Pelodiscus sinensis: one gene and its partner. The protein of the gene in region 2 interacts with the protein of the main gene of each other region in a pairwise test. Links are inferred from orthologs where the notes say so. Each region holds a gene or a part of one and is shown on either strand. Other genes may lie near its edges. The genes, in order: DAZL and PUM2.

Evidence for each region.
Region 1: the proteins of PUM2 (region 2) and DAZL interact in a two-hybrid assay, tested with the Homo sapiens proteins (2 studies listed by BioGRID and IntAct). The link is inferred for Pelodiscus sinensis from reciprocal best matches to the Homo sapiens genes PUM2 and DAZL.

What each region holds. Positions count from the first base shown.
Region 1 is NC_134712.1:193,717,823-193,734,438, reverse strand, and holds the start of DAZL (deleted in azoospermia-like), read right to left. Parts: upstream 7,194-16,616; 5' UTR 7,030-7,193; coding exon of another isoform or gene 7,027-7,029; intron 6,117-7,026; 5' UTR 6,096-6,116; coding exon 6,024-6,095; intron 1-6,023. UniProt on the Homo sapiens protein: RNA-binding protein, which is essential for gametogenesis in both males and females. Plays a central role during spermatogenesis.
Region 2 is NC_134713.1:18,477,072-18,493,229, reverse strand, and holds the start of PUM2 (pumilio homolog 2), read right to left. Parts: upstream 6,362-16,158; 5' UTR 6,227-6,361; intron 4,401-6,226; exon of another isoform or gene 4,323-4,400; coding exon of another isoform or gene 4,317-4,322; intron 1-4,316. UniProt on the Homo sapiens protein: Sequence-specific RNA-binding protein that acts as a post-transcriptional repressor by binding the 3'-UTR of mRNA targets.

The DNA of each region.
Region 1 (16,616 bases), on a different chromosome or scaffold from region 2:
GCAGGAGTTTAACCGTTAACTGTACCAACGAGCATTAGCTTATTGATTAACCAGTTAAACTCTCACATCTCTTATGTAGACTCTTGGCCCTTATTCCAGCCACTATGATTTCAATAAAGCAGTAGCAACAGGGTTTTTGCCTTGAGTCCTATATGAGGAAGAAGCAAGAAGTTACTATTTCAAGTAATCTCTCACAAGGCAAAGATTATATAGCCTTTTACCTTATATGCTGGCTGATCCTCAAGAGCCCCATGTATTCCATGACTACTGAATTTGCATCTTGGCAGAGAATTACACTAAAAAGGAGAACTGAAATTCCTATGTCTTTCTAACCTTTGTGGTCCAAAATTAATCATCAAGAAGTGAGCCAAAAGTAGATATCTCTGAGGGTACATCTATACAGCAGGCTAAAATCAGAATAAGTTACACAACTGCAGCTATGTCAATTGCGTAGTTTAAGTCGAAATAGCTTAGTTTGGCTTTTGGCACCGTCTACAGAGCAGGAGCTCAAAGGAAGAACACTTATTCCTTGACTTCCCTTATGCTTCATAAAATGAGGGTTACCACGAGTTGAAGTAAGAAGTCCTCCAGCTCAACATTATTTTGAAATAAAGGCTTGTAGTATAGACACACTCTTTGTTATTTTGGAATAACTGAGGTTATTCCAAAATAACACTGTTGTGTAGATGTACCCTGAGTGAGCTCACAGCCTGTAACAATATCTCTAAGTGTAGTGGGGTAACATGCCTCATTCGTCTCAGTCTGGTCTATGTGAAATCAGATTCCAAAATACCAATCAATTCAATATTTCTATTACAGCATCACACCATTTGCTGTTTTACTACAGCCATCTATCTGACTAGGGATGTAAGGGACTAGTAGACAATTTGATAAGCTTTTGCTTATCGGGTAGTCGACTAGTTGCTCCCGCCCTTCCCCTCCATCTCTATCAAAGGCAGCAAAGGGGTGAGGGAGAAGGAGCTGGTGCGAGCTGGCTTAAAAGGTATTGGCTGACTTCGGCTCATGCCCCGTTCACCCCAGGACCAGCTCCGCGGGGAGCAAGGGGACAGTGGGAACTAGATGTAAGCCAAAGTCAGCTGATTCCTGGCTTGCACCCACTCCTAGACACTGTGCCTCTGCTTTTTAAATGCATTAAGAGCCTGCTGCCTTTTAATACATTTAAAAATCAGAAGTGTAGCAGGGGGACCCAATGCAAGCCAGGGGCCCTTGTACATTTCAAAGGAGGAATGTAGAACTTCACGTGCAGCTGGAGCCAAGGTAAAGTCCAGCTGACTCCGGGCTGCACATGGGAGTGCCAGCTTTGAAATGTACAAGAGTCCCCAGCGGGGGTTCTTGTGCATTTCAAAGCAGAAGCGCCCTCATGGAAATGCTGATCCTGGGCTCTGTGTGGCATTTCTGCAGAATCCGGGATGAGCTGGGACTCAAAGGGACAGCACTGCATGGAGCCCGGGGTCAACTCCTTACAGTGCTGCCACTGAAGTACCCCCTCTTTCCCCCCCACTGTGCTGCCTCGATCTGCAGCGAAGTGGAGGGAGCGGGGGGAGGGGGGGAAATCGACTAGTTGACTCAACTATCTGATAAGCATTTGCTTACTGGATAGTTGACTAGTCCTTAACATCCTTAGTTCTGACCTAGACTGGCTGGCCATCACCACAGGAACCAAAGATCAAGGAGTGCAGCCAGGCTGCCTGGAAAATTTTGTGGGAAAAAAGTATATTCAAAAGCAGAGAGATAGTTGAAAGTACTAACTGATATAAAAACTATGAGCCATAGACATATGTACAGAAAGAGATGACAAATGGGAAAGGAAATAGAGAACATTTCACGACAATCACAAATTTAAGAATTTAGGCATTGTTGCTAGCACCGGGTCCTATTCTCCCTTTGAATAGGCAGGGCGTCTGTTATACCTTACAATACTGATAATGAAGCAGAGTTTATATTTGTGAAAGGCAAAGCAGAAAAAAAGAACAAATCTAACCAACTGTTCTGTTGGATCCTCACTAGAGCTTCAACTAGCCCACTGCAACAATATTCCTGTGCTTCCCCCCCGCCCCAGGAGCATTCAATCCTACCCCTTCCACACCTTGCTCAGAATATAAAGATATGTAAAGTCTATTCATACTCTTGCCATTGACCCACATGTGTAGCATTTCTATGTACAGGAGTTGCAGTTACCATGACAGCGTATTACCTGAAAGGGAGAAGGAACATGGCTCCCTGTAACAGTGATAGTGTAGTTTACACATTAAGCAGCAGGTGGAGCTATTAGCCAAGTACTGTACTGTACATACCTTTTGCAAACTAGGTGATATCCCAGTCAACTTTAGTTGTTGGTTGTAAGACCAAAAGGGGTTTGGTTTTTTATGTATATCAGTGATTCTTAAAGTGTGGGGGGCATGTCCCCTACAGGGGTTAGGAGGAACAAATGTTCTGGGGGCAGGGGGCGCACAGAGCAGGAAGATATTGCTATGTTTCCAGCCCCACATTACCCACAGGCCAGCTGTACCTCAGACCCTTTCAGCCCTCAGTCTTGCTCTAGGTCCAGGCCCAACTCCATCCTCGCTCCTTCTCTGCCCCCAGACTCAGCTGTGCCCTCCTTTCCAGTTCCATCCCCATCTCTACCTTCAAACCAAACTCTGCTTCTGAGAAAACCTTGGCTGTGCAGTAACTGGAGAAAGAGAGCAGACAAATTCCATTATTGATTGGGGGTGGGAGAAAGAGAGGGAAAGGAGAATGGCACAACTGGAAAAGTTTGAGCACCAGAGATGTAGACCAATACAATTATTTTATTGCAATTCAGGGGTGGGTGGACCAACATACTGGCCCTCCCAACCCACATCTGACTGTCTTCAAAAGTTCAATGGCTGGGGCACAACTAACAGAGGCAGTTGCTCAGGGCATTTGCCCTTTGGGAGGCATCCATTGGTCAGGAGCTCTATGAACACCCTCCCCACTGGGCAAAAGCTCCTACTCCCACCACAAGGCAGAAGTCCCAAACAATGTTCCCGCTAATCTTTTCAATCCATGTGTGGAACAAATATTTTATGTGCACCAAGGCATTTGTGAATGTGCACCTCCAATAGAAACATAATACCTAGCTCTGTGGGTGCTCTGCTAATCGGGTGGGTGGCATCCGAATCTCTCCTGAACAGACACACAAGCGCACAGCTTACAGAGAACAATTGTCTCTTCCTCTGGAATCTTGTAAATCAAGAAGTAGGGGGAAGGGGAGGGAGGAGACACAGACTTCCTGAGCTGTACTTTTAACAGTAAGGCTGTGTCTACACTGGGCCACTTATTACGGAAAAGCAGCCGCTTTTCCGGAATAACTTGCCAGCTGTCTATACTGGCCGCTTGCTTTTTGGGAAAAGCAATGACGATCTACTGTAAAATTGTCAGTGTTTTTCCGGAAAAACTATGCTGCTCCCGTTCGGGCAAAAGTCCTTTTCCGGAAAAACTGTTCCGGAAAAGGGCCAGTGTAGACAGCACAGGAGTCTTTTCCGCAAAAAAGCCCCGATCGCGAAAATGACAACCGGGGCTATTTTGCGGAAAAGCGCATCTAGATTGGCCATGGACGCTTTTCCGGAAAAAGTGCTTGTAGACGCGCTTTTTCCGGAAATACTTATAACGGAAAACTGTTCCGTTTTAAGCATTTCCGGAAAAGGGTGCCAGTGTAGACGTAGCCTAAAAGTATGTAAACTATATCCCTTTTTCAATAAAGGGATGTAAATTAGACATATCGAAATTATAAATGAAGCTGAGATTTGAATTTTTTGCACTTTACTTACATAATGGCGGCCACGGCTTCCCCCCCCCCCCCCCCCCAAAAGCCACTTTTTGGGAAAAAAAAGCCCAATGGTCAAGACAGGGATCTTTTGAGAGAAATGCCATTTCGAAAGATCCTGTAAATCTCATTTTTTGAGGGTTACAGGATCTTTCAAAATGGGGCACTTCTGTCAAAAGATCTCCATCTTGACTTTTCTTTTTTTGGAAAAGCAGCTTTTCGAAAAAAAGCCGCAGCCGCCATTATGTAAATGAAGCACAGGAAATTCAAATCCTGGCTTCATGTACAATTTCAATATGTCTAATTTACATCCCTTTATCAAAAAAGCGACGTAGTTTAGACATACCCTAAAAGAGCTGCCTGTGGCTCACAAGCCAGTTTGGCCACCCCTGCTATAATTATCTCAACCTCTACTTTTATCTACCGTATTTTCCGGCGTATAGGGCGACTGGGCGTATAAGACGACCCCCTATCTTTTTAATTAAAAGATAGGGTTTCATCTTTTACCCCAGTGCCCCTCCGCCTCCTTTGCTCCCGGTGTTCCTGGTCTGCTGGAGATGGTCCCCAGCAGACCAGAGGCACCGGGAGCAAAGCCGCCAGGAGCGCCTGGGCTGCCCCCCCCCGCCGGAGCCCCTCCACGGCTTTGAAAGCCTCGGGGGAAGCCGGCGGGGGGGCATCCCAGGCGCGCATGGGCTGCCCCCCCGTCGGCTTCCCCCGAGGCTTTCAAAGCCGCGGAGGGGCTCCGGCGGGGGGGCAGCCCATGCGCGCCTGGGATGCCCCGCCGCCGGCTTCCCCCAAGGCTTTCAAAGCCGCGGAGGGGCTCCGGCGGCGGGGCATCCGGCGTACAAGACGACCCCCGATTTTTGGGGGATGTTTTTTAACTTCAGAGGTCGTCTTGTACGCCGGAATATACGGTAATCTTATAAAGAGGCTGGAAACATGAAAAAGATTATCTAGCAAATAGTTTTGGAACTAACACTGAAGGTGAAAAAGTCTGTTCCACTGTTAAGTTCAATTTAATAGCAAAGCAGTTTACGATAAATGTGCCTGATAATACAAGATATCTTGAATGGGGAGAATGAGGTGCCCTAACTTTTTCACCTCCCCTTATCAGTACTGGAGTATGTCCACAAGCCCACTCCATTATTGTACAGATGGCTCAGCACAGGAGCTTGGGCTGAAGGTAATGCTGGCCTTAGAGAGGAGAACTGCACCTGGGTCTGGAGCAGAGCTATGGCTGGGGACTGAGCTGCAAGGCAGAGAGTGGGGATGGGGGTGTATAGATGGTGGGAGACTCCTTCCCCATGGTAGCTGGCCTCTGCTCTGCCACGCACACCCTGTTGCCACAAGGACCATTATAAATTGAATACTTAACAGAACTCGTACAGTCTGAAAGTTGATATACGATCAAGTTGTTAATATGACAGGAAGACACTTTTGGATTGCGTGTTTAGCAACTCGTTACAGTAGCTGTAAAAAATAGTAGTGTCATGCTACCATAAATGAAAGTGTGAAGAGCAAAACTGCATTTAAACATGAAAGGCAAGACACTACTAAATTTACTATTTTACTAACAATAGAAATATTAATAAACAATCAGCTTCAGAATACAAAGGTCACAAATTAGTGTCACCATTTAAAATATGTTAAAGCCAGTAATAAGATCTTTCCATGCACACCTGCAGGAAAGGTAGTTTTGTCCCATATTTATACAAAGCACAGTACATTTTCATAATTACAATACTACAACTGCTATATTGCAAGTGATATTCTTGATTTCTAGTGTCTTTATTTTACCAGTTTAGTCCTATTGTTTGCATCACCACAAGCTTAATGCAGCACCCTACTACTCCCAGACAACAGCATGATTTACAGAAAGATGTGCAAACAACATCAAGTTGTTTCTTGAAAGTCTTCATATTATTATTTAGTAAATGATTAACCTGTATATGGGAGCTAAATATATTCTAGTGCATCCTAAAGTAAGAAGTGTGAGCTAATTCCTCTCAGAAACAAGACCTTTTCAGTTTTGACACAGAAACTAAAGCCTGCTTTTTTCCTCTAACAGTTTCAACATGAACATCTGAGAAGTACACTTTTTTTAAGAGCAGCAATGAGTTGCAAACTCATAATATGAAACTGTTTTTGAAAAAGGTCAAAAGATTCAAACTAAAGCTTTGGCTCAGCTGAAATATATGTAACTTATATAATGTACCCAAATCTGAATTGCTTTGTGCTGCATTTCCACAACAGGAGTGGAAGTGAACACTTCCAGGCGTGCTTGCATCCACGCCTGCTAGAGGAGAACCTGCCAGGAGAAGCATGAGTTTCAAATTAAACCAGGGGTCTGCAGATTTTGACCTCACATGGGGCGCGCACCAGCCACAAGGAGGGCAGAGGGGGTTTGACGCCTCTCCTGAAGATGCTTGCTACAGACAGACTGACCTGAGAAAACAGGGCCCTGGCGCTGAAGCCTCCACCCCATGGGGCATTAGAGAAGGGAAACGCGTCCAGAGCCTGGTTAAGCCCAGCCCCGAGGCAAGCAAGCGAAACTCCCCAGGCCTGCGGGCTGCTCCGCCCAGCACCTGAGGGAACGGGCTGGGGCTTCACTGTCACTCTCCAGTGGGCCCGCGGGGAAGCAGCCGGGACCCCCGCACCCGCAGGGGACGGAGCGGGGCAGGCCCCGGCACAAGGGGCGGGCGGCGGCGGGAGCCATTTGGCGCAGTGAGTGGGGGGCTTGGGGGCTGCGTGGCCGAAGCGCGGGGAGGCCCCAGGGAAGGGGCGGCGGCCGCAGCACCACCCGCCAGGGCGTTGGGCTGCCGCCGCGCCGGGGCAAGGAGCGAGCGGAACGGGCCCGGCGTCGCAAGCCGGGTGTAACAAAATGGCGGCGCTTGCGAGGCATGGCCCAGCCTCCTCGACGTCCCAGGGCCCGTCTCAGCGGCCAGCGCCGCGCGCGGCTCTCTCCCCCTGTCCCCAGCGGAGCCGGCCCGTTGCACCCCACACGGCCCCTCAGCCATGCCAGGGGCGGGGGACCGCCCACCTCAGCCACCCTAGGCCGGGGCGAGCCCGTCTCCACAGGGACGCCAGCGCTGCAGCCCAGCCCGACCAGGACAGCGGCTTTGGGCCCCGCCAAATCCCATTCCCCGCCGAGGTTCCTGCCGCCGATCTCCGGCCTCGGCCCCCCTCTCCCAGCCCCCTTAGCCGCCAGCCCCACTCACCATCCTTCCCCACACGCGGGGCAGCGCCCATGCACGTCTAAAAACCGCGGGGTGCTTAAAAACTGACCCCACCAGCTCCCTCCCTCCCACCCCCTAAAAACAGCAGCTCCTCCCGCTGGCCCCGCCGCCTCTCTAGATAATCATCAGAGAGAGAGGCCAAGGGGGCGGGGAGAGGCCACACCCAGCGGGGTACCCAGGAAGAGGGAGGGAGGGAGGCAGTCTGTCTGTCTGTCTGTCTGCCTGCCTGCTCCAAGACGGGCTTTTCCCTGTGTGTTCCCACCTCTCCTTTCATTTGGTGTAGGTTTGGGGTGGATTTTACTCTAACCTTTCTGGAGTTAGGAACGGTATTTTACTGCCTGACCTGTGGCTTCCCCCTCCACCGCCAGTAAAAAGGATATAAAGTTTTGCTCTGCAGCATAATCTCATTTCATCCAATGGAGGCACTTTGCTCAGTAAGTGTTAATTTTACTGGGACACCCACTCTTTGTGAAACGTTCTTATTTAATTGGTCCTTGCTTATCAAAGACATGGCCTCGGAGATGAGGTTTCTGTTTGCTTTCTTCGCTTTAACAATCACCTTCAAACTGAAGGGATTGTTTTTGAATATAGATTATTTTTAAAAGGGAACTCGCTCTTAGCAAATCTTGAGATGCACTTGTTCCATTCAAAGCCAATGGGAGTTCTGTTATTGACTTCAGTGTCAAGAGGTCTGGGAGCATTGCTTAATCTCTGTGCTAGTCTCCTAAGGTTATGTCTACAATGTAGTTAGACACCTATGACTGGCTTGGACTAAGGGACTGTTTAATTGAGGTGTAGCTGTCTGGGCTTGGGCTGCCTCCTCAGAAGGTGCTAGAACTATGTGAGCCCAAGGCCAAATGTATATGCTGCAAATAAACAGCCCCTTAAACCGAGTCCCAAAACAGCCACTAGCCCAAATCAACTAGCATGGGCCAGTCATAGGTTTTTTGACATCTGCACTGCCCAGAAAAATCAGCTGCACTCAGTCTCATAGGGCTCAGGCTTAAAAAGTAAAAAGAGCATTGCAGACATTCATGTCCATACCGCTATTCTTCAGTTGGTGGTGCACATCCTCATAAGGAGTGCTTTCATTGAGATAAGAGAACCATCTGTCTTCTCCTTTTGGCTCCCCTCACCACCAAGAATGGGGTAGGTGCCCCCTCTCCCACCATGGCACCTAACTGGAGCTCCCTGGCCAGGCAGCTATGCTCTCAGTGTGTTTCAGGAAGCTGAAAACCTGGCAGGGAGGACGGGCTTCTGGTGGGAAGAGCAATGACGGGAATCTGGTTGGCTGCTATGCTCCTGGTGGGGAGCTAAGAGCCTGGCTGGCCAAGCAAGTCCCTGGTAGGGAGCTCTGTGTCCAGCTGGCTACTCCATTCCTGGTGGAGAGTCAAGAAACCTAGTGCAGCTGCATTGTTTCCAGTGCGGAGCTTGGAAGCCTGGTATGGCTGCCCTGTTCCTGATGGGAAGCTGAGAAGCCTTGTGAAACTGCACCATTCCTGTCAGGGAGCTGAGAAACCCTGGTGTAGTTGCTCTGTTCCCAATGAGGAGTGGAGCGCCCCAGGACGGCAACTGGGCTTCCTGTGGGGAGATCTGTGCCTGTTGGCTGCAATGCTCTTAGCAGAGAGTGGAGAGACTGGCAGCAGCCTGGCAGGAAGCCCTGGGAGCTGGTTTTCAAATCTGCCTTATGTTGACCAATACTGTAATGTAGACCAGGACTCAGTCAAAAGAAAGAAGTAAAAGATCTTGGTACTTAAGACCAGTGAGGGGACAATATGCTGGCACAAAAGTCTGTCCATGACAATCTTTTTGGAGGATTAAAGCCTACTGTTCGTCTCAAATTGTATAAAGAGACTGCTTGGTAGCTTTAAATCTTGTTTGGTCACAACTAATCAACTTTCCAGTGATCCTCATTACTAATTTATTTACAGGGATTTTTAAATCTATATTTGACATTGGCTAAAGGGATGTATGCAGTGGTTAAAAGATTTACCCTAAGTTTTAAACCTATAGATTTGTGTCAACTTAGGGACAATTTTCATAGTTTCAACAAAATCCTTTTTAATAGAGAGATATTTCCCCCTTAAAATTGATCCACATTAGTGAAGAACACATCAAGGCCTGGATATTTTCTGCTCTTTATTTCTTGCTTTGTGCCCCCATCCTTTCTACCTAGATATGGATAGGCTTTTTCTTTCCTTTTTATTTTTAAGTTTGCAGGAATTCTTGATCATTCCCACTGAGTAAAACTTGTTTAAACTGTTTATCCCATAAATTCCCAGTTTTATTTCTCAATAATTTTAAATATACTGCAGTCTAATCTCATGCCACTTGTTTTTATTGCCACAATGACAGGAAATTATTCTGTGAAGGTGGACTCACAGATGTGCACTTATACATATACTCTTTGATATCTGCTCTGTGCTATTTAACTGTATTATCATTTTGCAATAAATTGTCATAAAAACCCAGTGCTTTGTCTGTTTTGGTCCCAATGAACTGCTCATTAAAGCCTACACAGAGGCATAATCTGAAATAATGATATAATTTATCTCACTTTGTTCTACCCTGTGAAGATTACTTCTATCAGTACAAATTAAATCAATTCTAGAGACAGAGATGCAACTCAGAGTAAAAATATAATTTTTCCTCTGCATTTCTCTCCAAATATCCACAAGCTGTAGTTTAGCTAGTTTTTCTGATTGTATCCATATCTTTTTCCTTGCTTTCCTTCCTTGAATATTAACAATTTTTCTTGTCAATGGCTTAGTTAAAAGGTCAATACTAGGAATGTTAACTATAGGTGACCTGATTCTGCGCAGCATTACAGTGGAACCTAATCCCAGGTTCTGGGGAAATGCTGCACAAAGCCCAGGATCAGCTGGCAAGTGCACTGCCCCTTTGAAACGTGCAGAATCAGGGCCTGGAGGTGGGGGAAAATATGCACAGTTTCCTCCACCTTGCCCCTGTCTTGCGAGGCGCACATGGCACTTAGAAGTGCTGCGCACTTCTGGCAGGGCGGGAGGAGGCTTCGCGTGCTCCCCAGGCCCTGATTGGCCTGGGGGCGGGGGAGCATGTGAACTCTCTTCCCACCACCAGGGACATGGGTGCTTAGTGGGAAGGGGGAGCAAAAGGGCTCCCACACCCCCAGGCCAATCATGGTCTGTGGGTGGGGAAGCCTGAAGCCTCCTGGCCCCACCCCTTCCTTTTGAAGCCCCGCCCCTTTTGGTGCAATCCTGGGCCACTTACAAAAATTTTGAAATGGCACCTGGCAAAAAAATGATTGCCCAATCCTAATGTAGACCAATGCTGACCAGCTTTTAAATAGCTCCAGTGATGGAGATTCTATAATTTCCCCAGGCAATTTACCCCCAGTGTTTACCTACCCTGACAGGAAGTTTTTCCTAATGTCCTAGTCTGCAATTTAAACCCATTGCAGAATGGCAAGGTCAAGCATGCTGGAGGAGAATTGATACTAATTGAAAACCTTTTGAAGTAATTTTCTGTTGTGTTAGTATAATGCTGATGGAAAGACCTTGCAGAGAAAAACAACCCTTTATTTTCTCTATAATTTTGCTTCCCTGGCCAACTAATAATCTAATCTAAACTTGTCTGAGATCTTTGGTATTGAACATAAAGGACAGAACATCGAAGCTCAATCAGTATCATCTCAACTTTCATTATAGCCCTCAAGTCACTGTGTCATATCTCTGCCGTGGAACCTGATTTTTATACTGTACTCCCATCTCCTGGATTGTAGGAAGAGTTTGGGAGGGGCATAGGTAGGGTGAGTTGCACACCTGTCCTGAAGAGATGGGGGCAGGGCCTGAATCATGAACATTTCCACCATGTGTCACATAAGAACAGTCATACTGGGTTTAAATCACCTGGAAAGAGGACAGTCACTGATAAAACTACCCCTAAACCTCCTCCAATTACCTAAACAGAACAAAAAGTGCAATCTCTATTTATGTATTTTATTCAGTTACACAAATGATCAGCAATGCAGAGTATACAATAAGTGAAGATTTCCCCATATAGTGAAGGTTCATATTACATTTTATGATTAGAAGGAAATATAACACAGGAGTGAAACATCCCTAAGTTTTTGGACTGTTATTTTCTTGAATAAAACACCCAAACATATTTCTTCTTTCTCTTTTTATTTTGTCAGGTAGCAAAAAGAAACTTTGGGGACAAGGATGTGGGGAGGAGCTAGGATGAAAATCTCATGTTTGTGCATTTGCCATAGTAGGCAGGTATGGCTAGAACTCACCATAGTGTAAACCAAAGAGTCTCAAGCCTTATGTGAATAAGAAATTCAAATAGAATGGTTGCTCACAGCGCTCAAAATACATCTGCTAACACCAAGTAATTAATTTAGTAGGAACTTAGAGGAAGAGAACATAAGAATGGCCATACTAGTCACACCTATGGTCTAGGTAGCCCAATATCCTGTTCTTCAACAGTGGACAATACCAGATGCTTTGAGGGAATGTACAGAACAGGGAAATTATGGCTTCACCCCGTATCATCCAGATAATCACTTGTCTCTTCAGATAGTCAGGATTACACACACAGAAACATAGTCAATCCACCCTAGCTAACCTTCAGTGTATTCTCTCTGATAAATTGAAAAGCCCTGTATAATGGTATAGCCATGCATGACCACCATATCTTTATAACCTAAGAGATATTGCCAACCTCTTAGTGCTGAAAGTTGGACTGTCATATTCTTAGAACTACAATGATATCTGTGTTCTTTAAGAGAATAGAATTATAGAAGTTTATCTTTATTAGCTCTTGTGGGGTAAAGCACTGGATACAGAGATGTATCTTTTAAGGCCTCCATGTTGTTGTAACCTAAGCCCATAGTTTTGCTGGAAACTGATGATGTGTTAGAGCTGTGAAACTATGGAACAGGCTTTCATAGCTATGCCAACAACAATATTAATCTTGTACCACTAGTGTGCTTGGATTTACTTTCCATAGGACAGTACACCCATGAGAATAATCTCTCGTCTTGTGTGAGATCTCTTGGCTAATAAGTCTTAAATCATCAATTACATGCAAATGTTGATTAAACTAAAATATAATCATTCTTTAAGCAAGTAACAAATATATTAATCATTATTGCAGCAGTTGACTCATCCTCAAACTGCGCTGTATTCAAATCAAAATAGTGCTGATTATTGTGATTCCTGGAAATGTAACCTGCACTACAGGGCTACGTCTACACTGGCATGAATTTCCGTTAAAAGCATTTTCGGAAAAGCGCGTCTAGATTGGCAGGATGCTTTTCCGCAAAAGCACTTTTTGCGGAAAAGCGTCCGAGGCCAATCTAGACGCGGTTTTCCGCAAAAAAGCCCCGATCGCCATTTTCGCGATTTGGGGCTTTTTTGCGGAAAACAGTACTATGCTGTCTACACTGGCCCTTTTGGGCAAAAGTCTTTTGGAAAAAGACTTTTGCCCAAACGGGAGCAGCATAGTTTTTCCGGAAAAGCACTGATGATTTTACATGAGATCATCAGTGCTTTTCCGGAAATTCAAGTGGCCAGTGTAGACAGCTGGCAAGTTTTTCCGGAAAAGCTGCTGATTTTCCAGAAAAACTGGCCAGTCTAGACACAGCCCAGATGTTTTTCTATGTTACAGCTTCTTAAAAAATAAAAAAAGGTTACAAAAAGAATTGGATGATTGAGTAGTACTCAGCAGCGTTATTTCAGAATAACTGACATTATTTCAAAATAACAAAGAGCACATCTATACTACAAGCTTTTATTTTGAAATAATGTCGAAATAGAGGACTTCTTATTCTGACTCCTGTAACCCTCATTTCACAAGAAGTAAGGGAAGTCAAAGGAAGAGTGTTCTTCCTTCGACTTCCTGCTGTGGAGACAGCACTAAAAGCAAAAATAAGCGACTTTGACTTAAGCTACGCAATTGACGTAGCTGAAGTTAGTAGCTTGTTCCAACTTTAACTCTGCTGTGCAGATGTACCCTAAGGCTACATGTACACTGCCCCATCTTGTGCAACAAAATATGCAAGTGAGGCAAAGTGTGGAATATTGCCATGCCTCATCTGCATAATTAACAAGGCTCCATTTTTGCACAAAAACCCCCTCTTGCGCAAGAGCCGTTCTTCCTCTTTTTTAAAATTATGCAAATGAGGCACAGCGATATACCATGCTTTGCCTCATTTGCATATTTTTTGCACAAGCAGGGGCAGTGTAGATGTAGCCTAAGTGTATTGGAATAAGCTTCAAAAAATTAGTGATGAGGTACAAAACAGATGAGAGCTTTTAGCAGTGGTTGCTGGTCACAAATGTAAAAATGACTAATAAATTTTTCAAAATGAATAGGAAAAAAGTTCTTGAACTTAGACCTCATAATCTGGGATCTCTTGAACTCTGATATCACATGAAGTCAGACAGTGAAGAAAGAGGAATAGTTAGCTCTTGAATTGATTATAAACATTCTCTTAAATGAATTGTTGCCATAACTTTGCAATCTCATTTTTTCCTGTCTTCAGAAGTGAAGAAACTCTTGTACATGCATAACAGGAATCAGCAAAAACAGTACACATTCATTCCTTGAAAGGAAAACTTTGCAGCAGACTTAATGGGTCAAGTAGAAATATGTGCTGAATACACACATACTTTAGTCATGGCTTCCTGGTGACATGGACATAAAATCTGGATCCTTTAATTTTTATAAACCTCAGCAGGGATTGCTGGTCTCACAATATACTCCTGTTGTTGGCCCATATATTTTTTTACTTGGTGTTTGAACACATTGAGATAAAATCTGTTCTCATTTACACCTCTGCCACAACTCTGAAGATGCTGGTGTAACAATGGGTATAAAATACAGTAGAATTTGCCCTGTATGTTATACTAGAAGATTTACCTAGCATTGTTCGGGTTCTTAATTCAGAAAAGTTTTGTTTTTCTCCATTTAAATCATTATGCTAGGGTGAGCCTAGGGATGAGGTGTTCAGTATGCAGGCTATCCCAGGGAGAGAGGACAACTCCTGCCCTCTCTCACCACAGCAGCTTGCGGTCCGGTGAGAAGCACCTATCCATGGCCACTGCCGCTGTAGCAGGCACAGCCAAGGAAGGAGTGCATGTCTCCCGGCTGGGGGACAGACAGACACACAAACAGACAAACTCTCTGAAATATGTAGTAGGTCAGTGTCCCTGGGTATGTCTACACTAGCCCCCTAATTCGAACTAGGGAGGCTAATGTAGGCATTCGAACTTGCAAATGAAGCCCGGAATTTAAATATCCCGGGCTTTATTTGCATGTTCCCGTCCGGTCACCATTTTTAAATGCCACTAGTCCACGCGGCAGTTAAACGGTAATTCAAACTAAATCCTTAGTTCGAATTACCTGTTACACCTCATTCCAGGAGGAGTAAAAGGTAATTCGAACTAAGAACTTAGTCCGGACTAGTGGCATTTAAAAATGGCGACCGGACGGGAACATGCAAATAAAGCCCGGGATATTTAAATCCTGGGCTTCATTTGCAAGTTCGAATGCCTACATTAGCCTCCCTAGTTCGAACTAGGGGGCTAGTGTAGACATACCCCCTTTCTCAACATCTGTCCCCTACTGGCCCAAAGGGTTTATAGCTATCCTGGTCCCCATTTTTGGCCCCTTGCTGCCATCATGTGGTCATTATATAGTATAACTATCACTGCTAGCAGAGCCCTCCCTTTCCATTTCATGATAATTACATTCCATGCACATTCCATTGTCCTGGAACAACCAAACCCGTACCTTGCTTTAAGTTAAGATAATAGGAAGCTGAATACCAAATCTGGTGGTCCTAGTTCTTACTCTTTAGGAGGAGTGGGATGGGGGCTTGAACCCCTGCACTAAGAGCAGCACTGCTCTGCTGTGCATTCACGGCTGCGTGACCGAAACCAGCGGGGCTTGAGACCCGGAGCGCAGGGAGTTTAAAGGGAGGCCAGGAAGTGGAAGTGTGTGTGTGTGGGGGGGGGGTAGAATGGGAGAGCCAGAAGGAGTGGAGCAGAGGCTGGATGTGTTCCCCCCAGCAGGAGACCGGAGGGATGTGGGTGAGCCAAGAAGATCCCAACCCAGAGCGCCCGGCCCCATCCAGAGCAGAGCGGAGAGACCGGAACCCTGGAGGAGAGCCCCACTCGGACATTGAGTGACAGGGACAGCTGGAACTCTGGGGCATAGACATTGGGGGAAGGGAGGCCATAGAGGGATAAGAAGCATAGAAGGGCAGGGCAGGGAATATGACACGTGGTGGACCCCCGAGGCAGTCCGTGGACTCTGTTGCACTGGTGGAGAACGTGGGTACAGGTGATTTAAGCACCAAAAAAAAAAGGCGGGGGGCGGGGGGAAGAGAGGGCGTTCTTTGTCTTTCTCCAAATAGGAGTTGGCAGGGGACCCAGGCAGTAGTGGAGGAAGTTGGATTAAGGGACGATGAACGTGAATAAACTGTTAGAGTGGCTGGCTGACAGTCAACGTCAGCAGCAACAGCAACAGACGCAGCTGCTGCAGCAGATGACGACCCAGCAACTGGAGCAACACCAGCTGTTATGGGAGTTGGTGGAGCTCCAACAGAGACAACAAAAGAAGTGGGCCCAGCAGTGGGCTCCCACGCCAGGGTTAGGTGCCTCCGGGATACCCCTGGAGGGGGCATTTGGAGGAGGATCATTGCTAGCCTTGCTGCTCCGCCTGACGAAGATGAGCCCTGGGGACGACGCGGAGGCCTTCTTAGTAACATTCGAATGGGTAGCTTCTGTGGTGCATTGGCCAGAAGAACACTGGGTGACACTACTGGCACCCTACCTCACAGGCCCCGCCCAGCTGGCGTATAGGAGTTTTTCGGCTCGGGACGCCCTACACTATCATAAGGTGAAGGAGGCCATATTGGACCAAATGGGGGTGACACCGGAGGTCTACCATTGGTGGTTTAGGGCCGAGTGATATCGACCTGGCAAATGGCCGCGGGTGGTGGTCCAGTGACTTTGGAAAGTAGCAGGGCGGTGGCTTGAGCCTGAAAAGAAACCTAGCACTCAAATAGTGGAGATGATCGTACTAGATCAGTTTTTGCAGATCCTTCCAAGCGACAGCAGGACCTGGGTTCAGCGACACCAACCGTCTACCCTTGGGGAAGCCGCCGCTATTATGGAGAATTACCTGACTGCGGAAGGACGGGAAGAAAGAGGCCGTGAGCCCCGAGAGCCCACAGAAAGGAAAGGCGTAAATGGCTTGGCACAGCCTAGCCAGGGACATGGGAGACAATGGGCCGCCGGCCTATCGAGTGGAGGACCAGGAGACGGTGCCTGGCGTGGCTTGGAGCAACTGAGAGGATGGGAAGGTAGAGTGGAGAACCTGACACACCCGGAGGAAGGACTACGACCAATGGTACTCATGCCTGTGCCACACAGGGCCTGCTATGAGTGCGGGCAGGAGGAACGTTTCAAATGTGACTGCCCCTTTATAGATTGTTCATATGGACAAGTGCTGGCAGCCAGCCTCCGAGCCCGGGGGCAGGACCCCTCCAAGATCATGGTGCAGGTAAGAATAGAGGGGAG
Region 2 (16,158 bases):
ACCGGGAGCAAAGCAGCAGCGGTGGCGGGGTCCCACACCTCTGAGGCTTTGCCAGAGCAAAGCCTCAGAGGCGCGGCACCCCACTGCCACTGCGGCTTTGCTCCCCATGTCCCTGGTCTGCTGGAGGGGGGGGCGCGCGCAGCTAGTGTGCCCCCCCCAGCAGACCAGGATTTTGTTGTGGACCCTGGGGCAAAGCAGCTGGGGCACTGCAGGTTGGTCCCGCAGCACTGCTCTGGGCACTACTGGACCAACCCGGCAGCACCCCAGCTGCTCTGCCCCAGGCATCCTGATTCAGCCGCTGCTGGTCAGTTTCAGCAGCAGCTGAATCAGGACGCCTGGGGCAGAGCAGCTGGGGTGCTGCCGGGTTGGTCCAGTAGCGCCGAGGAGCGGCGCTACTAGAGCAACCCAGCAGCACTCCAGCTGCTCTGCCCCAGGCGTCCCCAAGTCAGCCGCTGCTGAAACTGACCAGCGCTGACTACAGGAAGCCCGAGGCAGAGTTGCTCTGCCCCGGGCTTCCTGGAATCAGCCGCTGATCAGTTTCAGCAGCAGTTGACTTGGGGACACTTGGGGTTCTTAAGTTGAATCTGTATGTAAGTCAGAACTGGCGGTCAGTTTCAGCAGCGGCTGAATATGGACGCCAGTTCCGACTTACATACAGATTCAACTTAAGAACAAACCTATAGTCCCTATCTTGTATGTAACCTGGGGACTGCCTGTATAAAGCAACTAAATTTTAAAAGTATTTTGGTACAGTACACTTATAATTTAAAAATGTATGCTCACCTGACACTGAAATGAGCAATTTCATATTTAAAAAGTAATCTGCGGATTGAGATTTTCTATGTCAACCTTTACCATCTCCTTGTTGCCCCTTCCCCACATAAAAACAGAAAATCAAAGATTTATGATACATGTAAGTAATAGAGAAAGAGATACAATGGAAACAAAGCCAGTCAGTACAGTAATTTGTGTCGATTTCTCAAAATTTTCCTTACCACTGGCTCAGTGAGAATTAATTTAGCTTTACCTGGTAATTTAGTAATTGAGCTTTAGCTGGTGAAATTGTAGACCTATTTGGAAATATCTGATTAAACTGTCAATTTTTTTCACAGATTACCAAGTCCAATTTATAAGAAAAAAGATCACAGTACCATAGGTTAATTAAAATACATATTAAATATTAAAATACTGCAATACACAATATTAATATGACCATTTATATTGAACAAGGCGCATGTTCAAGTCACAATATTTTGTTTTGGACTTATTCTTATTGTACTTGATAGAAGTCCTGCACTTATCTATACAGTCAATAGTTTTGTAGGTGTAGCATTTCAGAGATCTTTATATCACTCCTGAGCAATGCTCTCTAATCTTTTCCATCCACATGCAGACATTGCTTGGTGCACATACAAAAAAAAAAAAAAAAAAAGTATGAATATGTACCACTAGTAAAAACAAAAAGCCTAGCTGTGGGTATTCTGCTAATCAGCTGGGCAAGCATTTGAATTAGGGATGTAAGCAACTAGTTGACTACCTGATAAACAAATGCGTAATCAGGTAGTCAAATAGGAACATGACTAGTCGCTCCCCCACTTTGCAGCCTCTATCAGAGGCAGGCAGCGATGAGGGAGCATGAGCTGATGCTGGGGGGGAGCTGTTTTAAAAGCCCTCTGCATCCCTCCGTCTGAAATGTACAGGAGCTGCAGGCAGAAATTGTACATTTCAAAGGGAGAGGTGCAGCAGGATAGCAAGCACTCCCCTTATCAAATAATCGAGTAGCTGATGGAATTTCCATAGACTACTCAATTAGCTGATTAACTGAAATTTAACATCCCTAATTTGAATCTCTCCTGAACAGCTGCACAAGCACACAAGCTTTCAAGGATCACTGCTCTTCAGTGCATTCTGCACCAGAAAACTAAATTTTTTGCACAATATTTTAAAAATTTGTCAAACAAATGTAGGAACCCCGGCATGGTACTTGGGAGCACACAAGGGATGTGAACAGGTAACAGGTTACCCAGTAAGCATCACCCTTACCTTGTGATGCTTACCAGGTAATGGTTAACCAGTTCCCCAGGACAGCCCCATCCATGGCCTGCTGCAGACGGAGGGCTGCTTCAGCCCCGAAGGGCAACCAGCCAGCCCCACGCAGCTAGATGCTGGCAGCCAGCTGGTAGCAGGAGACCTGCAAGCTGCTCCAGTTGGGCTGGAAGAGTCCCTTGTCTCATCTTGTTAAACATAATGTTTAACAGGTTAAGTGACTAACTGGTTAACCAATAAATGGGTAGGGAGCCTGGAGCACCCCTGCCTGCAGTGTGCCAGACTGGGCCTGCCATGGGGCCCTGATCTCCCCATCTCAGTCGAAACTAGTAGCTGAGCCTGGCACAGGGTAGGAGCCAGTAGCTTGGGTCTTCCCCAGTCCCTGCCCCTACCCCACAGTGATTTCTCTCTCCACTGGCTACCCTAGGCACCCAAAACATACTGTTGGGGGGGGGGGGGGGAGGGCTACATGATCATTCTTGTGGCTTCTCTTTTCTTCACCATCAGAAAGTCATTTTTCTGCAGGGAAGAAAATAAATCTGCAGGTGCCCTAAATCCTGTGCATGTGCGGTTGTGCAGAATTCCCCCATTACTCCTCTCTCGACACCTAGGATGGCCATCCCACTGCTTTCACAGAACTTTATCTTCATTATGTACATGCTAGCTCTCCAAAAGCCACTTCCAGAATGGATAATGCATCAGGGTTTAATAATCAACTTTACTGACACCTTTAATGATATTTCTACAAATAATACCTAATTTTGATTCACCAAGTAGGTAACCCACACCACATTCTGGGAAATACTATCAACTAGAAGCAATGCTGACAAATTCTGAAGGAGATATAAAGTAAGCCTCCCATAAAATAAAGTCTCAGCAATATGTAAGCTGTTACCAGAAAGAAAAAAGTTTTATACATATCTACTGGAAATTAGACAGACAGTTAGAACCTGTATATACTTTATGTAATTTGAAGGTGTTTTATAGGACTGCAGCTGTACAGTACTTCTACTATATTACAAGGAAGTGCCTTGAAAAGGCATTATACGAATGTAATATGTTGTTACAGGAAGAGAAAACAAGCCTTTCAATTATTTTGTTCTTGTGCCATTTCACAGAGTTTGGGTTCTGGGCTTATTGACAATGCTGGAATGGTTCAAACGTGTAGAGTAAGCAATAAAATAGTTGTGCTATGGGTGGAAAAACTTCACCCTGGATGAGGGAAGTATTTTTCAACTAAAATTATTTTTTAAGTAGAGAAGAACAGAAGTGGAAAGAGCAATTAATATAGTTCATTCTTATGAATGCACCTTATACAACCAAAGCAGTATCTATATGACCTACCCATCACGCTCTTATAGTCATTTTAGAAGTTTTCATTTAGAAGTGATCTGTTTTCTTTCCCTTAGTCTACAAAATGTTAACTGCCAATATCTTTCTATCAAAATGCCTGTACACTAGAAAGAAGGCATCAATGTTAATAGAAATAATCAAAGTTGACCGAACATTTTTTTCTGCCCACCTAACAACTATGTTCTTAAGAAGGGCCATTCAGAATCAAACCAGTGGTCATACTATCTTCTGACAGTGGCCAGTGCCAGACACTTCAGAGAAAACAAACAGAACAGGGAAATTATCAACTAATCTGTCCCCAGCTTTTGGGACTGTAACGTTTCAGAAACTATACAAAGCAGAGACTTGAGTTCTCAAGATAAAGTATTTTAGACAGTTTTACACACACAAAGTATTAGTACACACACATACATGCACACCTAAGAAAGGCGGAAAGCAGACAAAGTAAAACCAAAAAAAGTTAGGATTTTCAAACTAACTCCCTGCTAATGCTAACCCCCAGTATACCCACAGTCTCTCACACATCTAAACAAATGGGAAAGAAGTTACTTATGGTCTAATGCTACCTACTGTCTAATGCTCCTACAATCAGGCAATAAACAACATTCTTAAATATATATTGTAACACTACATTATTGTTTTCCCACAAGACAAGGAAAAATGAGATTCTCTCTCTCTACCAATAAAAATGTATTAGCTATAACAGATTTCACTGCATTTAATATTTAAAGGAAGTTAATTGCACTCTTCCTGGTCAAACACCATTACAATGAATTAATAACGGTTTCTCACCTTTCATTATTGTAATTGCCTAGTCACCATTCTATCCCCCCCACCCCATGGAAAAATTATAAATATTAAAATAGCACGTGTATGTATACACGTAATATTCATGCAATAAAAGTGCACCCTGTTACCTGCATTTGCCCATTAGGTCTGTCTCCTCTGGGACTACTTCTAATTTTCCAAGCCCATGAGCATCTTCAAGCAGCTGCCAGATGCTTTGTTTAAAAAAAAAAAAAAAAAAAAAAAAAAAAAAAAGCCACAGAATTCAGTCTTTCCCCATCCTAATTTTCTCACCACCTTTACCTACTAAAAATACTTACGATACAGTATTCAGTCATGGACCAGTGAAAGGTTTAAGATCCAACACCTATTAATACCATTGCAAAAATGAGATCCCCAGCTTTCCAAGAACACACACAATATCTGCTTCTAAATCCAGGAAGATCCAGAAGGATGTAGACATTAAAGCCATCCAGACATTAAAATTAGCAGCAGTATTTATATTAAATAAGACATTTCAGGTATATTTAGAGATCTGAAAAATGTATTTGTTTTCATTTTCCTCCCCCTTAAGAACCTACAAACTTTGAATCATGGTAAGTAAAGAACCCTAATCATTCCATTGTGGGACATGCACATGCGCGTGCGCACACACACACACACGCACGCACACAAAAGACCATGAACAACATACATTTCCAAAACCAATTTCTGTTAATATGCAACCTATGGACAATGTACAAATGTTTTGTATAAAGATTTTTATGGACACTCATTTGCAATGCTATATATACCTCATGCATGTCTTTATCACTTGGTGGTAATGACACATCCCAAACGCAGGTTGGTAAAACCTCTAAAAACCATGCCACCATATAAAACATATTACATGTTTTAATATTTTGACATTTTCTTGCTTTGTACAATATTTCATACACCAGACGGGTATGAAATACTCAGTATCACTTTCACAGCATTAAAGACATAATCTGATGTTAAGTACACACACTAAACTTCATAACAAAAAAATCTCCTGTATAATGATTGCTAATAGTTTTAAACATCATCAGCAGTCATCAAATAAAATTGTGATCCACTCCGCACGTAGCTGTATTATATGTTCCAATAACATTTCCTCTGATGTTATTTGTCTGTGGAAATTTTAAAGAAAAAATAAAATCCAATATTTCACTGTGTGGCATCAACTACAAAATATGCATTTAAGCTCCCTACCCGCACGTGCCTTTAAAAAAAAAAAAAAAAAGAGAGAGACTTACATATCCCCAATAAAGAAGATAGAATAACCTGTGAAATACTGAGATCAGTCTAAATAGTCTAATGGTCCCTTATGGCCTTAAGCTCAAAGATATTCAAAAACCTTATTCGCATTTCCAAAATATTTCCTGTGCCTAGATCTCAGTTGTGCCCTTCAGTGACCACTGCTCTCTTGATTCCTTGCCACCCTTTCCCTCCCAGCCTCAGAGGTCTGTTTTTCAGGCACAAGTTCACCTCTGGTTTGATCTAAATCCTATGCCTTGGCGTAAACGACTCACCGAGGCTTTTTCTCCCCTCTCACCTAAAACGCAGCTCCCTCACCAAAGGGGGTGTGTGGTGTTAGCATCCCGAAGGCGTTTAAAGGGTCACACCGCAATCCCCCACCCCACAACACTCCCCCCACCACACACCCCTCCCCTGCAGAATATCCCTTTCCCCTCCTCCACCATGCACGCTCCCCCTCCGCCCAGACTGCCCCCTCCCCCCACAGGCGACCCCTCCCCCGCATGCGCCCCCCTTCTGACCCCTCCCCCACCTCGCTCCCTCTCCCGCCCCCACCCCCTTTGTGCGGCTCCCGACAGCGGCCCGGCGGATTGCTTGGGCCGAGCGGCACAAAGGAGAGCCCAGCCGCCATCGACCAGGCCCCGACCAACGGGGCGACCGGCCTCGAGGCCCGAGACAAAGGGGGCTGAAGCGAGGGGGCTCCGCCCGCTGCCGCTCCCCCCCCCCCGCGGCCTTGGCTACCCCGGCCCCGGGAGATACTCACGGGCTGGCTGGCGGCGCTGCTCCCTGGAACGGAGCCGGACAGGGCCCTGAAACACCCCTGTCCCCGCCGCCCCCCCCTCCGGGTCTCTCCTTCCTTCCTCCCCTCCCCCCACCTCAGCCGCCAGAGACTCACAACAACATGGCGAGAGACCCACACACAGAGGGAGCGCGGCAACCCCCACTGCGCAGGCGCGCTGCGGCCGGAGACGGAGGCGGGGCGGGCAGCAGGAACTCTCGAGTCCCTTCCGCCGCGCGCCTATCAGCGGCGTTGGCGCGCGGCGTCTGCGCGCGCTCTGATGTGCCAGCGGCCCCGCGTGCGTGAGGCGGGTTGGGGGGGGGGAGGTCGTGGTGGCGTGCCGAACGCGGAACTCCTAGCGCCCCATTGTTCCTTTCGCCTGCACCGCCTGGGATGTGAGCATGCTGCAGGGCCGGATCCAGCTCCCGCCGGAGTGCACGGCTAGTGTCGCAAGTTGTCACTGGAAGAGAAAGACCTGAACTAGCCACAACAGTGAAACCCTACGCCCACCCAATAAGACGAGGCTGGGCTGCAAGGGGTGAATTTCTGTAATGCAGCGGCCGTAGAGATTCAGCTAGCTTTGCAGAATTTGGCCAGTAGAAGGAGAAACGTGCGCACGTGCATGGGTATTATCAATAAAGAGAACCTCAGAGGGCTAGCCATGTTTATTTAAAAAAAAACGAGTAGTCTTGCAGCTTTCGTGGGCAAAACCCACTTCCTCAGATGAGAAACTGTTCATTCCAGCGGAGAGATGTAAAAGAAAAAAAGGATGGTCAAGCCTCAGCTCACCAAGAAATTATGGTTTCAAAACAAAAAATTGATTTTACCTACACACCAATTCTTTTGTCTCCCAACAGCATGACACAGGCACAGATGTGATCCAGAAAGCAACCCATCTAACCAAAACATCAGTAAATAGAAGCTCCATTGATTTCTTTTACATAAACAATAAGCAAGTGTATTCAGTCTTAACATTAACTAATTTAAATAAAAAAATGAGTACAGCCTCCCATGAAAGAAGAAAGTGTGTGCCTATGCCAGTTTCCCAACGAGGGTCCGTGGACCATCGTCAGGGGTTCCGCAAGAAATTGTGGAATAAATAGTAATAAGAAAAAATCTTACAATGTAAGCTAATTGTGATATATATATATATGTATATGTATATATATATGTATATGTATATATATATATCTCAAACAGAACAGCTCTTTACAAACATATTGATATCCAAAGCTGGATGTCCGCACATCCATTCTTTCAAGCATTACTCACATGATTACCAGTGGACCCAAATCTCAGTCCAAACGCAGTCTTTAGGAAGGCTCTACTGATAGCAAGTTCTGTAAATCCAGTTTAACCAGCTCCATGGGGATTTCCACATTGGAGGGGGATTTCCCAGGTGGCTTAGAACCAATAGAGTGGTTCCCAAAGCACTAACCTCACAGCACAGAGGCCTATTTAGAGGAAAGGAAGCATTGTAGAAGCACTGCTACACTATGGACAAACCAGGAGACAAAACAGTTCCTGGGAGCCATAAGCAAAATGTGCATAATTTACAGGCAGTTCTAAGATTTTTGAGAGGATTTGTGAACTTTGGAGGAAGTTGTACAGCGCCTCTGGAAAAAAAAACTCACGTTGGGAGTCTCAAATTAGTGATCACTTAAAAATATTCTGCTAACCTCTCCTGTTTCTTCATTTGTAAAATGGGGGCAGAAAGACACTTTTCTACTGCACAATAGTGTTTGTGAGGATTAGCTAATGCTTGTAAAATGCTATATTACATACCTGTAAGAGCTAAGTATTTTTTTAATCAGCATAAGTTTCACAAACAAATATATGTGATCTCTACCTGGTCTGACTGGTCCTTTGTAGGATGAAAAAAGCAAAATAGAAAAATGTGTAAATGCAATTATAAAGTGATTTGAAAAATAAAACTGAAACTTATCACAGTAAGAGCAGCATTCAAACTTTAAGTCCACACTACCAAAAAAATGCCACTTCTATTTTTTTTTTTTTTTTTTTTTTTTTTTTGCTGAAGGGAAACTTAAAAATACTTATTTATAGTTTAATTTGACAATGCATTTTTGAGCTACTTAATAAAAATGCTAGGATATAAATGTTAAGGCATTAATAATTGATAATGCTTTCCTAAGCACTCTCCAGGGGTTTCTTATGAACCACACATCAACATGGTTTTACTTTATTTGGTCCTCTCGTGTATCAGCATCATCAACATCAGTGAGACACACAGCTGTAGGAAGAGAGTCAATTCCTACAGGTTGGACATCCCTTGTCCAGTACCCTGGAGATCCGACTGGTTCCAACCAAGGGGATTTCCTGAACCCAAGGAGATAGTCGCTTGCTACATGTCCTGCGGCCCCTGGCTAAGGTTCCAACTTAGCCCCACTGCTGCCTGTCTGGCCATGGCTTTCGCTGGAGTTGGATCTCCACAGCCAGGGATGGAGTTCCCTGGCTGCTGCTGGGGATAGACTTCTGTGGCTGCCACTGTCGTTCCCAAGCTCCATGGCTGGTGCTGCCATCCCGAGCTCCATGGCCAGGACTGCAGCTCGTTGGCTGTTGCTGCTGGCCCCCAAGCTCCATGGCCAGGGCCAGAGTTCCTTGGCTGCCACTGCTGGGCCCCCACTACCACCTGGCTGCAGGGGCCAGAACTCCCTGCTGTGCCACCCATCCCTCTGCGCCCTGTGCTCTGGCTTCCGGCTGAGTCTCAGCCTTCCCTTCCCCCCCCCCCCCCCCCCCCACACACTGCTCCTTTCCCATGGCTTCCCTATTCCTGGGCTCTGTCTGACCATGGATGTTGCCAGACCAGAGTCCCGGTTAAGAGAGATATAACCTGTATTTCATATGTTCGGCCTGCCGCTGAATGCAACATAACAGCTTCTACCTAAATGGCGTCTGATTACAGTGCCATACCATCCATAGGACAGTTTTGGGCAGTTGTCTCAGGCCTCATGCTTCAGGGGACCCCACAGCAGCAGCCTCAATTGTTCTATGGATGAGACAGTACCTCCTGTTATCTGTGGGGCCCAGGCAGCCTGGGGCATTACCAGAGGTGGAAAGTAACTAAGTAGAAATTCTTTGTTACACTGCTCTAGTATATTTTTTCAGTATTTGTACTTTACTCAGGTAATTTTTGTGATACTTTGACTTTTACTCAAGTAGGGTTTTTTTTTTTTTAGAAAATATTGTACTTTTTACTCCACTATCATTTCTGGAAGCTCTTAGTTACTCACTTCTTTGATCACCCCACTGACAGCGGTGCAAACCAGCATTCTGATTTGCTAAAGCACAACCACGTGCACAAAGCATCCAATCGTCATGCAGGCTACATCTACACTGCAGCCTTTTGTTGGCAGAGTCAATGCAAATGAAGCGCTCATTAGCATTTGTCACACTGTCATTTGCCTCTTCTCTGCCAAAGCTTTTTGCAGAAGGGGTTTTTGCGCAAAAACAAGCAGTATAGACGGGGCCATTTTGCACAAAAAAACCCCTTTTGTGCAAGATCTCTTATGCCTCAAAAAAGGAGGTATGCAGGATCTTGCACAAAAGGGGTGGGTTTTTTTGCGCAAAATGGCCCCGTCTACACTGCTTTTAAGAGGAATAAGGGATCTTTTGGAAAAGGCTTTATTTTCCGAAAGATCCCCATCTAGACTGGCGCTTTTTGCCAGCAAAGCCCCAAGCCGGAAAAAAGCGGCAGCCATGTTCATGCAAATGAAGCGGGGGAGATTTAAATCCCCGCTTCATTTGCAATTGCGCTGTGTCTAATCTGCATCCCTTTTCCGCAAAAGGGGTGCAGTCTAGACACAGCCTATGGATATGCTGCCATCCTCTCCTACAATCTGGCTATGTCTACACTACAGAATTTTTCCAGAGGTATCCTAGAAAAACTCTGCTGCATCCAGGGAATGCATCTTCTCTTCCAAAAAAATTTTCAGACGAGCAGACGTGCTTTTCCAGCATCCCTGTAAACCTTGTTTTACAAGGAAGAAGGGATGTTCGGAAAAAGGGTTTTTTCCGACATGTGGCCCAGTATGGGCAGGCCAAATATCAGAAAAGCCTCTTCCAAAAAAGAACAGTGTAGTGTAGACATAGCCTTAAGGAGGTGTCCATCAGGTCCAACACACCTTTGCCTGCCTCAGCTGCCTGTGAGAGACTCTTCAGTGTTGCTGGACTCATATTTTGTCCTAGGAGAGCAAGACTTGACTCTGATCATTTTGAAAATCAACTGCTTTTAAGGTTGAACAAACATTTTTGTAATTAATCATTACAATGCTAAAATGCACACTTGTGAATGTGAACAAAATAAATACATTTCTGTAATTTGATTCCTGTATTTAATTTGGTTACTCTTTAGCTTTATAAATGAAGGATGTGACTACATTTAAATTTCAGATTTGAAATGTGTGTGTGTGTGTATATATATATATATACACACACACACACTTGTGGCAGGGTAAACCCACTCCTGGGTCCCAGTATCCTGCTCAGTCCTTCACTGGGCAAGCTCCATACTGAATTACCAGCCCTTGGAAGGGTTTAGGCTCTGGTCCCTCAGCCACCAAGGGCATTGGAGCCAGTGCTCTGTGGACAGCCTGGGCTGCCAAAACAGTCCTTTTCAGCTCTCAGCTGGGGTCTCAGGCTGCCCAGAAAAGTTGTGCCTAAAACACCTGTTTGGAGCTTGTCACATCCACTGTGCTATCTCTGGCACTGTTGCCATTCTTAGTCTGCTCAGGTCTCTTCTCACTCCACTTCCTCCCTCTCTCCACCCCCACTGAAAAGGGGGGGAAGGGTGGGTTCCTTTTAAAGGCTCCATGACATCCTCAGGTGAGATCAGCTGACCCTGATTAATCAACAGCAGCCCTATCTCCTTTGCTCCTGATTGACCAGGGCTGCCTTAGAGCTGCCTTTCTCCTTCTTAGTTATAGTCCTCCAGCCTAGGTCTGTTACTATAAACTTGTCAGCTACTTTTTACTTCTGGATACTTGAGTACAACTAAGATGCAATACTTTTGTACATTTACTCAAGTAGTCCTCCAGAAGGACACTTTGACTTTTACTTCATTATATGTTTTTCAAAGTAGCAGTACTTTTACCCAAGTAACTTTTTTGGGTATTTTTTCTACCACTGGGCATTACCTGGGGGGGCTGGTATGGGGCAGCAGCTGACGTCACCTCTTGTACTCACCACAGTGGCTGATTCGGGTCCCTGCTAGCTCTTTTAATAGCTGCCTGCTGGCTTTTGCCATAGCTCAGCCAGCTCTTTCCAGAGTTGTTCACCAAGGCACACCCAGTTACTTTCACCTCTGCTGTCTTCACTTCCAAGGTCCTTCACAGCCTATACCTAACCTACCTGTAAGTTCTGATCCACTGTAAAAAGGGCTTTCAATGGGCTCTTGATACCAGCCGACACTGCCAACTTTTTAAATTTTCAAAGAAGCACATCTGTGTTTTCTCCCTTTCTACCCTTCATACTAGAAAGGAACTCCCCATAAATATCTGTAAAACTAATATGTTATCCTCCTTCAAAACTCCCCTTAAAACTCTCCTTTCCCCAGGATGCCCAAAAGGATCATTATTGTCTCATGGTTTCCTTGCGCTTCCCACCTGTGTGTCTGTAACTATTTGTCATCTCTTGTCTTATTTAGAGTTTAAGTTCCTTTGAGCAGAAATTGTCTTTTTTCCCCTTGTATGTACAGCGCCTACTACAATGGGGTCTTGGTCCATGATTAGAGCACTTAGGCACACTGCTAAAATAATACCAATAAAATAAATAATAATAGGTGCTGCGTTACATTATATTGTCCTAGATGAGGTGTAACCACCGCCCTTTATATTTTAAGCAATCTCCAGCCTAAAACACAGGCATACGTGTGTCCACTCAGGAATTTGAACCATGTGGGCAGAGGAGTTTTGGCTTGGAATTGAGAGCATGCATTGGTATGAATGAAAAGCCAGAGAGGGAGTGAAGGAATAGAAAGCTGGTAGCACAACCCTGAGAAAAGCCTACAGAGAAAGATTTTGGGGTTTGCTGGCTGAAAGAAGTTTGGGTGTGTGAGCAAAGAAAATATCTTCTTTTATTTTGGTTCCTTCTGTCTGCTTTCAGAGAAAGAGGACTTTGTACATTCTTTGTTAAGAAATAAAATTGCATCAAAACATACTAGACTCCATCATCAGTTTCTCCACTTACTGGAAGGACCTACAAGAGGCAGAATTTTCACAACCAAATGGCAATACTTTCACAGCTGGTCATATGCTAGATTTGTAATTTTTAAATAAATGTATAGGCTTCTATAAAGTTTAGTTGGCTTTACCTCTATTGTTTTTATTATGTTTTTAATAAGTTGAATAACACCATTCTGCAGACATTTTAAGTGAAAGATCAGTGAGTCAAGTGTACAATCCTAACTTAAGCATCGTCACCAAAGACAAGTTACCACAAATAAACTTCCTTTACAGTAGTGCAGAGCACAGCAGGATTAGGTTGCAGACTGAACCAGGATCTATAGTTAGAACACTGATTTCCCCAGTAGGCCAACTTTTGTTTCTGAGTCATTCAGTTCCCCTTAATAGCATGGGATATAAATAGATGTACATAATAAACATACCTCAACATCACAACAGTCAGAGATGGCTATTCATTGTAATAGAGGGTGAGTAGCTAATGACATAATATTGTGTATGTGAACATGAACCCAAAGCAGAGATAACAGCAGCTGGCTTTCAGATTATGTATTACTTGGCCTCAGATGATTCCACCTGGTTTACTGATAAGCAGCTACAATCTGATCTTTTTTTAGATAATAGATGTCTCAATAAGACTATAATTTTCTCCGATTCAGTTTTGAATTGTTAATTGCAGTAGCTCTTCAAAATGAGTATACCCGTACTTTATGCAATTAAAATCACATAGTGCACCTACTACAAAGTATAGCTGAAGCTGTAAATAAGATTAGATTAAATTTGATTCATGTACATATTGTATAAAATTATAAGTAGATAAGTATTCTACTTTTAGTCTTTATTAAAAAGCACTGGAAGTTCAAAGAAATAGCCTCGTTAATGAATATAATCATTCTGAGAAAAAGACCATTTGTCTCTGCCATCAGTGTATTGTTATGCAACCTATTTTTACTAACTGATTGAGGTGATGAAAGAGGGAAAATATTCGAGTGCCCTCAATATGCTGGGGTGCATGAACACTTCTCTCTCTTTTCCAAGAAACTAGGGTGCAGGAGATCGGGTTGTGACCTGGGGAAGGGGACTAGGATGCTATAGGGGGGTGGAGCAGTTTGGGCTGTGACCTAGAGAAGGGGGTCGTGGCTGTCTTCCTGGGGGGTCACAGCGCCGGGCTGGCCACCATTTTGTTTTCCCGGCTCGGCATCCAACGTGCACGCAGCATGGTCAGACCGGCACATTAAAGGGGCTGCAACAAAATGTTCCAGCTGGCTTTTTTTTTCCTCCACCCCAAAAATTAAAAAAGATTGAGCACCACTGACTTAGGGCAGGAGGCAGTTGTGACTTGGGCAGCAGACTGGGCTGCTGGGGTTTGAGTTGTGAGCTGGGGCAGGGGATTGGGGTACAGGATCTGTGAGGTGATATGGGTGAGGTGGGGGGGAAGAGCGTTGGGGTTATGTGGGGTGGGGAGCAAAGGTTAGGGTGCTAGATGCAGGCTCTGGCTGAGAGACTTAACAGCTTGACTCCCAGCCAGTAGCCTTGTCAAGCAGACCCCAGGCCTTCCCCTGTCGTGTGGTTCGATTTATTTTAGATTCAAGGGAAACCAGGACACTCCAGAGAGACTTCACCATTTTCTTATTTATTGCAAGCTTTAAGCAGTTAATATAGTTGTTTAAATTTTACAAGCCTTAAAAACAATTACTATACAATTTTAACTTTAAATACCTGTACTATACATTTTAAAGCAATTAATACAGCACAAAGCAATGCAAAAGCAATTACTAGAAGATCTACTATAATACAACAATAAAGCCTAGATTACTTACACTTCACCCGTATGTCACCTACAGTACCAAGCAGGAGGTCACGGTCCCTTTGATTCCCACCCATCAGAATGCCATGCACTGGGGCCACCGGTATAAAGAGTCTATTACTTCTAGTTACAACAAGCAGGACCTGTGTCAATCTTGCTCACTCACTCCCATCGATTCTTTTTACTAATCCCATTTTATAGCAAAGCGGGATTTGGTCGTTCTAATAATATTTACCAATTGATTACGTATTGTATACGATACCTCCAATGCCCAATGCCCTATTTGGGGTACATCCTGCTACTCAGGATATTGCAAAAACTACATGTGTAATTGACAGTTTTATGGCTGCATCTGTAATTTTTGCTTATCAGAAACAGAAGTACCAGCACAAGGTTGCTTGTCGTGAGTTCTTGACTTGGTCTTGTGCACGATGCTCAATCTGAATTGTTATGCAAAACATCTCAAAGCTTCTCCCTCGACCTTGCCTACGTTCTACGTGCACCAGACTTAGACAGGCCTGGGTTTTGCTTTTTAGAGATCCGCACTGTGGTCAAGGCAGACCTCACCATTTATTGCCATGGCAGGCCGTCCAGGTTTCCCTACAGCTCTGCTCCCGCACTGGCTGCAGGGGCCATGTGGTTTTTGGACACCTATGAACCTGAGGGAAAGGGTACTTCCCAAGATGCAGCCCCCATAGTCCAGAAATTGACCAATGGGATTATGCTGGGAGCTGAAGCAGCATGTAAACCCTTTCCTCCCTCTTCTGGCTTCACATCTGTTTAAACAGACTCGCAATGACCCATTTCTCAGCAGCGTGCCGGGTGTGTGTGCCGGGTGAGGCGAGTGGGGAGAGGCAGGGAGTCTGTGGGCTGGATCTGGCAACTTGGCAGGCCAGATCCGGCCCGCAGAGGGTATTTTGCCTAGGCCTGTATTAGGCTATTGATATAAATAAAGAAAAGCCTGTGCCTAACTCCTTCCAGAGACTTATGATTCGGGCTTAAGTAATAACAATACTATATGCCTATAATGCCCTTTGTCTTAGCATCTTAGAAGTAGAAATATTAATAGATTGACCTTCAAACCACACCTAATTAATGCAATAAGTATTAACATCACTGTTTTACTGTGAGATAAATTCAGGCATACAAAGGTTAAGTGACTTGCCTAAGGTGACAGGAATCCTGCAGTAAAACTCAGGTTTTCTCAGTCTTATGCTCTGATCACTAGATCAATGGTTCTTAGCCTTTTCCATACAAGAACCAACTTTGCCATACTGGAACCTCCATTCCTGCAGCCATGACCCATAGAACCTACTGCTCCTGTTGGCAACCCCAAGGCTGAGAACCCATATCACATTCTGTGTTTGAGAGATGCAAGCCATTGCTGAATCTGTGCCTGTTTTGCAAGGAGAGAGCCACGTTCAGCAATTAAACTCCTTGCCTATACCCCAGTCTTAAACAATATGATTCTAAATTTTGCCAGGTGAAAGTCAACAAAAATCAGTGTGAAAGATAATTTGTCTAGGTTAGGTGGTGGGTCTTCATATAAAATACTAAAGTGGCATGTATTGGTGAGCTTAGCTTTCATAAAGTCTGCTGTTTTTACATCCTTATTAAGTATCTTTTTCAGTTCTCCCAACAATCTTTTTCCCACTAAAGCTTCCTACAATGTTGATTAAACAGAAGGAAAAATCATATTTTGATAGGTTAAAAAGCCTTTTTTTAATTTTTTTATTTTTTAGAAAAACTGCAAAATTAAAAAAATGATCAGCTCTGCTGCCTAGTAAATTCAACAATATGTCTAATTGGCTTGAGATAAAATAGACTGGATTCTTGTCAAAGGCTGTGTTTTCCTGACATTGCTGAGGCCAAATCCCAATACAATGACATCAATGCAATCTACCTCCCCCACT